2 linked regions of the Arabidopsis thaliana genome follow. The protein of the gene in region 2 interacts with the protein of the main gene of each other region in a pairwise test. Each region holds a gene or a part of one and is shown on either strand. Other genes may lie near its edges.

Evidence for each region.
Region 1: the proteins of ATM1 (region 2) and AT1G12310 interact in a two-hybrid assay, tested with the Arabidopsis thaliana proteins (one large-scale study listed by BioGRID).

The regions. Positions count from the first base shown.
Region 1 is NC_003070.9:4,186,049-4,190,311, forward strand, and holds AT1G12310 (Calcium-binding EF-hand family protein), read right to left. Parts: upstream 2,186-4,263; 5' UTR 1,899-2,185; coding exon 1,452-1,898; 3' UTR 605-1,451; downstream 1-604. Other genes in the region: AT1G12300 (Tetratricopeptide repeat (TPR)-like superfamily protein), read right to left, coding at 1-28; AT1G12320 (ankyrin repeat/KH domain protein (DUF1442)), read left to right, coding at 3,376-3,435, 3,583-4,161.
Region 2 is NC_003074.8:6,946,770-6,951,817, reverse strand, and holds the start of ATM1 (myosin 1), read right to left. Parts: upstream 3,045-5,048; 5' UTR 2,716-3,044; intron 2,399-2,715; exon of another isoform or gene 2,108-2,398; intron 2,036-2,107; 5' UTR 2,032-2,035; coding exon 1,693-2,031; intron 1,556-1,692; coding exon 1,454-1,555; intron 1,372-1,453; coding exon 1,228-1,371; intron 1,104-1,227; coding exon 953-1,103; intron 844-952; coding exon 816-843; intron 715-815; coding exon 686-714; intron 588-685; coding exon 403-587; intron 289-402; coding exon 225-288; intron 122-224; coding exon 108-121; intron 7-107; coding exon 1-6. UniProt on the Arabidopsis thaliana protein: Myosin heavy chain that is required for the cell cycle-regulated transport of various organelles and proteins for their segregation.

The sequences.
Region 1 (4,263 bases), on a different chromosome or scaffold from region 2:
TCAATCTCCGTATCATCAACTTCACCATCTCAAGCTGAATCGTTCCTTTTCAAACTCTCACTCTCACTCTGTGTGTAAATTGCAAACCCTACAAAACAGCCATGGCACACGACGGACGGAGCTTAGAGACAAAAGAAACAACACCCGAAACGTACCAAATAAACCGGTTCAATTCAAATTATGCCGGAATTGGTTTTTTTTGTATCTTACTATAAAATACGGAAAGATTTTTATCTTTTAAGTTGCTCGGTGGAATGCATCAATGGCCTTTGGCACCCTCCTACGTTTTGATCTAGCGATCCAAATACTGCCACGTCTCAATTTACTTGCAAATAGGGAGAGTCCAGTAACTCGGGATTAGAGAGAGCTTGTTTTTATTCACTCGTGTTTTTGTTTAATCGGTCTAAACCGGACATTGTATGTTAACAGATTCATAGTGTAGTGAACCGAACATTTTGGGTATCATTCTAATGCGTATATTTATATGCTCTTTTCTTTTCACCACTACAATACTTCTTATCATTTACATGTGGTATTCATTAACGGAAATATTATTTTGAGAGCTTTGATCTTCACACAAATCATGTATTAGTAAGAAGTAACAGGAACATATAGAGAATGCATGTATCTAATCAAACTTTGAAACTTGCATCAGATTGAAATTTCATTTTCGCATAACCATCTACACAAGAAAACTATACCATAACAAGAACCAAAACCGAGTCAAAAACTACCGTTTCGAGAACATGAACTACAATGTCAGTGCCATAAGCTTTTTCAAAACTTTGTTCTGATGAGCCATCATAAGCTTTATTACCTTAAACCATGTTATCTAGGTACAACATGCCGCCCTGAAAGACAAACAACATCCAACAGCAACATAACAACACGATATTGAACAGCACAAGCTTGAGAGCAACAAAAGATCTTTAAATCATTTCGCAATCTTTTTACTTTCCACTTCACATACCAACAAAACACAGTCCTTGTCACAGATCGTGCCAGGATAAGGTTATGAAACAAGAAGATAGTATCTCATTCAAGAAGACTACTATAACATGAAGAACATTAAACCAAGTCTTAAACAAACAAAAAGGCTTATTAAAAGAATTCAATGCTAGATATCGAAATCAAACATTTCAAGATCGAAAGAGCGAAAAGTTACCACATTGGGAATCAATGAGATTCCTTGACCCCAATCCAACGAATTACAAAGGCATAAAAGACAAACCTTGACATTCTTAGAGATTAGATAAGATAAGAGGAATCACACAGACAACATTTCCATTAAAAATGAAAACAAACATGAAGAAGACAAAGTTAGTAAGCAAATTCCACAATGATAAAACAAACCCTAGCTAGGATTCGCTCGAAATCAAACAAACAAGTGAAAAAAACACAAAGAATCTCTTCTTAAAAATTTCAACTTTCAAAACATAAAAGATTAGATCTCACTTAGCAACCATCCTTGCTATGAAATCTTCATACCGGATCTTTCCATCGGATCCAACATCCACCTCCTTGATCCACTCATCGAACTCATTAGGCTCCAGCTTCTCTCCGATACTGGTCAGAATATGCCTCAGATCCGCCACAGCAACGAACCCGGTACCTTCCTTATCGAGCACTTTGAATGCGTCACGGAGCTGGCGATCGAAAGGTTCCGTCTTCAGATGTTTCGCCATGAGATCGAGGAATCTGTTGAAATCAAACGGTGAAGAGAGATTCTCGGATGCGATTATGGATTTCAGCTGGGCTTGGGTCGGGTTTCCGCCGAGAGATCGCATGAGGATCCCGAGCTCTGACGGTGCGATTTTGCCGTCGCCATCGGTGTCGAAGAGCATGAAGGCTTCCTTCATCGACGAGACCTGATCGTCGCTCAGACCATCTTTCCCCATTTTTCGATTCTTCCGGGTTTTCAGGTCAGATTCCGGGTCAGATGTTTCTCTCTTTTGCTTCTTCTCTGTACAACGAAATTTAGGATCAGAGAGTCGCGTTTGTAACTTTTAACGAGAGAGGTGTTGATATGGCGTCGTTTTATCTAATATTCAAGGCCCAACTATTTCTGGCCCATTTATCTCTTGAAATCTTAAAAGATGAACAAAGTCTAACCAATCATATTAGTGGAAATTTAAAGTTTAGGATCTTATTTTTGAAATGAATGTCTTTCGCCTATAAAGTTTTGATATGTTTGCTAGTTACAAATTAAAAAAAAGAATCAAATATTAGTAGGATAATTTGAGTGGGTTTGCATTTTAATATTTGTATTGGCAAATGAAATTGCTTAAAATGATTCCACTATACAACAAATCATTAAGTTTGAGAAAGTGGGATAAAAAGAATAAACATGACCTAATATTTCTTTAAGCCACAACCGATAGAGTCGTTTTCAAAGTGACATAGGAATTATAAAAAGGTTTGATTTGTCCCACATAATTGGATCTATGGGGTACAAAGACAATTGTTTAAATGCATTGGTCACTATCAATGTATATAGCAAATGATATCATCATGTGATTTAAAAGGTAACCTTCCACTTGGATGATTTTTCACATGTTTGAGTTCTTCTATACTTTATATCTTTCTTTTGGGTTTGCTTTGAAATATGATTCACTTGTTTGAAATTTATGCCATTATCTATGACTATCTCCATTATCCCTAGATGGAAAAAAAAGTATCCAGACACTCCTTATCAACGATCAATGAGACATTATCTATTATATCCACTTGGTTTTAGTTATCACATGATACTAAAGTCATTGAAATTGGGTCTGAATAGTGTTTTTTATTGTACCAACTAAATGAAAATTTTCTAAACTTAACTACTATTAACGAATAAACAGTTGATAAATCGTTTTAGACTAATTATAGTTTAAATCTCGTTAGCCTACACACGTCAAATTCGTCTGGAATAGTGTCAAAGTCGACTATCTAGAAACCTTATCTTTAAAAAACAGAAAGAAAGAACAAAACATAGTAAATCTTTTAGAAAATTTACCTATCACTCTCACATATTACACATTTTCAAAATCTAACCTTTACACCACAAAAATTTAGGATAATAGTACTCTAATTACCTCCGTTAATTCATAACAAGTGCATTCTCTATGTCCATTTTCTGATTTTAAAGCAACAATTTCTAAACAAAGGAGCTAAATCGGGGGGTACTTGATTAAAGTTGATAGTATTGGGGCTAAACCTAAAAACTAGACAAATATACAAGGGCCATATCGATACAAAACGAAACGAGACTTTTCTTAATGTCTACGTTCTCTATAAAAGCAAACTTTAAGCTAAAACCCAAACAAGAAGCAGAACACAAGAAACGTGAGAAACTTTGAGAAGACCAAGAAGAAGAAGCAGAAGAAGAAGAAAATGAAATTGGTTTGGTCTCCGGAAACAGCATCAAAGGCTTATATAGACACCGTTAAATCGGTAAGTTTTTTTTTTATTTTCCGGTGAGTTGTGAAGGAATAATAACACACGCTTCTTCTCTCCAGTTCTCGAAAACTCAGATCTTAATTTTGTTAAAGATTCATGGTTTGTTCTTGTAACGATTTTTTTCTTTTCTTTTTTGTTCAGTGTGAGAATCTTGAAACGCCGGACGCGGCGGAGCTAATAGCGGCGATGGCGGCGGGATGGAACGTGAAGCTGATCGTGGAAACTTGGTCAGAAGGAGACGCAATAGCTTCAAGTATTGGTTTAAACGTAGCAAGCAAACACGCAAACGCTAAACACATATGTATAGTACAAAACTCAAGATCAGAATCTGCTTATCTCCAAGCTATTCAAGAATCTTCATCTCCCTTGAACTTTCCAGAGACTATCGTCGCTGAAGAACCCGGAAAAGCGATGAAGAAGCTACAAGGAGTCGACTTCTTGGTCGTGGATTGGCGGAACAAAGAATTTGCAGCGGCTGCGTTGAAAAACGCTGCGTTTGGAAACAGAGGAGCTGTTGTGGTTTGTAGAAACGGGTATTCGAGCTTGAGAAGGGTTTTAAGAGACCGGAAAGTTGTTAGAACGGTGACTCTTCCGGTCACCGGAGGTATTGAGATAGCTCATGTTGCGGCTAGGAACTCAGGGAAGAGTGGTAACAATAAGAGAAGATGGATCACACATGTTGATCAGAGATCAGGAGAGGAACATGTGTTTAGTATCTAGAAAGTCAGAGACAAATAGTCATAAGTGTTTATTGGATCTTGTATTTGTTGTGTTTGTACATAAGATGATTCCATCAGATGCAATTGTTATTGAAGAAAACAT
Region 2 (5,048 bases):
TCTAGACTGTTAAAATGAGTCAACATACAAAGAAAAAATGTCAATGTTAATGAATCATGTTTAAAAAGGAAAGAAATCAAGCAAATAAAATCATCCAAAGAAGCTACCTTTTCTAGTAAAACTGCAAAATTTGAAGAACATGCAATAAGAAAAAAGAAGCTAAGTTAGCTCTGTAGAAATGAAAAAACAAAGTGAAGTTGCACAACTGTAAGGGTTACACTTACAGGTTTGAATTTGAGCACCCGATATCTTTCCACTTTCACTAAAATGAATCTCTATTAGCTTCCCCTGTATATTTTAATATCAAAACAACATTGTGAGACGTACGAAGACCTAAAACTCTCAACGACTTAGCATAAGATAATTAAAAATATACAAAAATCAGAATGATGAAGGGCTTACAAAACGACTAGAATTATCATTTCTCAATGTTTTTGCATTTCCAAATGCTTCCAAAATGGGATTAGTCTTAAGTATCTCATATTCGATCCCGCTTCCGCCTCCAAGAGCAGCCAAGTATTGCATAGCTATTTTAGCAGTCTCAGTTTTCCCTGCTCCACTCTCGCCGCTGGAAGAAGAAATAGAATCTTGTGATAAGGATACACCACAAAATACACAAACTGGAAGCACCACTTTATTCAACAGATCCACTAGTCTCAGTGTCTCACAACTAATGCAACTTTACAGGTCATGGACTCATGAATACAAATACATCTTTAGTCCAAAAACAAGTATTCTCATGCTAGTGCCATTTGAAATCCAATAGGCATGAAAATTAGCAAAAACTAAGCATAAAAGAGGACAGTTCTACTAACCTGATAATGATAGATTGGTTAACTTCATCTGGATTGGAAAAGATAAAATAGTGAGAGAATTGAAATATTTTTTTCAGCTTATGAGAATTGCAATGTTAACGTTCAACAATTAACAAAAGAATGAAACATGAACCCACCGCGTATCATTTCGCGAATTGCTGTATCTGCAATTGCATACACATGAGGACTCTCATTTGATTTCTTCCTGTATGCTTCAATGTATCGATTTCCGTATAAAGGAACCTCCTTAAAAGGATTCACAGCCACCAAAACTGGCCCTGCTTTTGTCTAGCACCATAAAGGAAAAAGGTTAGCCAAGCAAGAGTAGATGCTGGAACATATATAGTAACAGATTCAGGGGAAAGACTATTATCCTGATGAGCAAAAAAAAATATCACAACAAAAGACTTACATATATCATGTCTTGGTTGTACCTATAGTTGAGGTTGTACAACACTGATGGCTCATTTAAGTAACTAAGCTGCATAAGATCGTCCACTCCATCAAGAATATCAGGATTTGCAGGTACTAGAGTCTCTGATATGACTTTTATAACCTGTTTCAAGTTTGAAAGTAGTTTCAGATCAAATACTTCAAAAATTAACCTGGCTACCTTAGAAATACAAAAAGTTACTTACTTTTCCTTCGGGCAAAGATATAACAGACTCCTCCCCTGAAGTTGACAATATCTTCCCAAGCTCCCAGTTACCATTTGGAAGTTGAATCCAAGATTGCAGTATCTAAAGTTAAAAACTGTCAAAATTTCATCCCATATTCTTATAACTTTAGAAGCAATAAGTTTATTCTCAAATTAGCAAGAAATCCACCACAAAACCCTCAAGCCTCGAGAATCACAAAATGTAAATCTAAGGAATACCTTCTTTCGAGCATATGCACTAGTGTCACTCCACCTGCGTTCATCACTCTGAGGCAAGGGCATTGTAGCAGCTCCAGAATCTACATCATCCGTTAAAGACTGCTCTTCAACAAAAACACCGTGCCCGCTATATGGTGAATCCTCACTATCCCCAGCAGCAGTATCAGTTCGACTAACACCATTCCTTAAGCCACCTTTTCTTGGAACATTCGAATTGGTCAAGCGAACACTTGCACCAGAAGAATTTTCAAGGCGGTCAGAGACTGGTGAACCATCAAATCTATAGTCTGCTGGCAAAGATTTAAGTGACTGCATGAATGGAGTAACCTTCTGAGACATTTTGCTGCAAGAAAGAACGAAACTTATAAGCTCAAATGGGAAATGTTGAAGAAAAAATAAAACAATCTAGTCATACATGACAATCTATAGTTGGTTTCCATCAAGCTTTTGAAGAAGAACCCCACTCAAAAGCCCTATCTAATTTCATGAACATAATGGCGGGGACCAATACTTTAGGACATAGACTGAAATACTTTTTCTGAATCTTCAGTCACTGTTTTGAAGTTCCCCAATCAAAATTGGACAAGGAAATAAGCAATGTTAGACCAAGCTAGAGACTTTGCAGATGAAACGTTTAACTTGGTGGAGTAAACAATACAAATATCTAGAGATTGAGATAAGTAAAGAGAGTCACATGAAAGTAAACAAAGAAGAAACCAAAATATCTAAGGCTTGCTTGCCTGGTTGACATTTAAGAGCTTTCTTGCTGAAAGTTTCAACAATCAAAAATTAATCAGAGATTCACAAAAAGCAAACAAATTTAGCTCAAATCTTGAGAGATACAAAGACTAATTCCTATGTCACACTACACACAAACCAAACAGAAGACGGTACGAAATTTCTCAATTTGATCAGAATTCATTAAAAGAGAAACAAAACAAAAGCAGAAATATTTGAAATTTGTTCGATTTAAGAGTTAAAACTTAAACCCATTATAAACTTCAAGACCCTGGCTTTAAATACCTTCCAAAATTAGAGCAAAGCCAATCAGCAGCACCTTCAGTAGAAAAACTTCAGATTCTCAGAAAGGATTCAACTTTTTCTGGAGATAGATCTCAGACACACCAAATCCACCCCCACAGAAGAAACTTCTGATTCTATAAACTCCGGAAATGAGAGAAAAAAGGGGTAAGAAAATGCGGTGGAAGTGAAAATACAAAAAGAAAAGAGTATAAATCTCTCAAGTAGCAACTGAGACTGCTTGAGCGATTTCAATTTTACTGAGAAGATTGTGGAGAAAAAATCGCAAAAAAGTACAGAATGAAGAAGATACAACTTTTTCTCTGCTTCACAAGAAAAAAAAAACAAAGGAAGAAAAGAAAAGAAAAAGAGAGAAAACAGATTTTTAATTTCTTTTTTTTTTCTCTGTCTGAGAGGAATTAACAGTTTTTTTTTTTTTTTTTGTAAATTTAAAATTATCCGACAATTTTGAATGTCTTTGGGTTTTTGCCACCAACTGAACTTTCAATTTTTGAAAAGATCAATTTTCAGCACCTTACGTGTTTGCGAAATGACGATAATACCCTTGTTTATTACAGTATTTTTTTAACTGATGTTTTATTTTATTTTTTGAGTTTCAAATTATATGATCACAGATTTTTAATGCTGATATTTTCCTCTTTTAATGTTCTTAATTCGAATTAGTACACATACATATCATATTTGGAATATTCCCTCACACTTTTTTGGTTTCTTTCAAACTTTTTTGTAGTTGCTAAACGAATGTGAAAATAGAAATTAATAATAGATCTTGTGTTTTGACTCAAAACTTTTGAGTAAACTAGTTCATGAAATTTATGTGAATAGATCTTTTCATCTTATTTATGTAATTTTTAACATGAATTAGTTAACTTCAAATTTTGTTAGTTTTTGATATATAGCATTGTTTTTTTAGCTGATGATATATCAATGAATATCAGTTTTTCATAACACATAGAATTGATTGTATATTTAATGATTCTCTCGTTGAGAAAATTTAAATAAAAATAAATCCAACTGTATCATTAACAATTTGCTATCTTCCGCCATCGAAATATCAAGAAGCTAATTAATGTGCGAGTACATAAATAAGAGATTAGAATCGGTCCGTATGTTTTCGTCAGCGCTTTGAAAAATAATAAAAATCGGTCTGCGAAATAGAGTATAGTACTAAATTTCATTTTTTCTAGAATTAAGTCAACCACATATTAATTAACAAAATGTGAATATTTTAATTTTAGATTCGTTAATAAAATGGTACAAAACATCCTTTCAAAAAGTCACACACATTATTATAGAGAGCGATTTGATGGGATACATAAAACAATTATAAAAGCTTTTAAAACAAATTTAATTAATTTCATGTTTATATTCATGTATGACTGTTACCTACTGTTACAAGTTTGATAACACGATGATTTCTTATTCGTTTTGTCGTCGTTGGTTATGCAATTATTTCTGACACACATGTTTCCATAGATAAAAGTGTTTTAATCGCTCGCCAGTTTATGAAACACAATTTAATCGTTGAATGATTACCCTAGTTACTAATCGTTAGTGAATGCAAAACGCACGCATAGTTCACAAATCAAAATATATTTCTGACTGTTTTTTTTCTCTTCAACTGTGACGTTTATCAATGTATGGTTGAATGATTTGAATTATTGACTTACATATTAGATTACGTTTTTAGCAATGTTATTTTTGAGAAACTGACTTATACATTTCAAGATGATAGTTTAACGTTACAAAATAAGCTCATGCATATCAAATGAGGTTATGCATATGTTTAGTACTTTGCATGTCAATTATTATTCAAAGTATGTTCCAACATTAGTACTAATGTAAGATTCTTTAATAAGTAAGTAACGAAGTACCACAAGTTTTATACATATTTAATTCATAATGAACCTATAAACAATTAATACACATATTTCACAGAATTTACTTTTCGTATATGAAAACATGTTGCGACCATGTGATTAAGTATGACTTTCGAAACCATTTTTTTTTTTTTATGTCGACCACATTATAATGTCACTTAAAAAGCAGCGGTGTGGAAAATCGTGATTGCGAAGTTCCTACTATGTGTATAAATCCTAAACCCATTTTCAGATTCTCACACTCGCCCCACGAAATATTAAAAGTAAACATAAAAGTTGAACTCATATGATGAAAAGGTTTAAGAATTTATCGCAAGAGATTGTTTATCTGATATATCTCCTTTTAGATATTATCAGCTTTGTTCGCCACTTTCTACGTTTCGTCGTGGCCCATCTCTATCGATGTTTAGATTTCATGTCCGAATCAAGACGCAG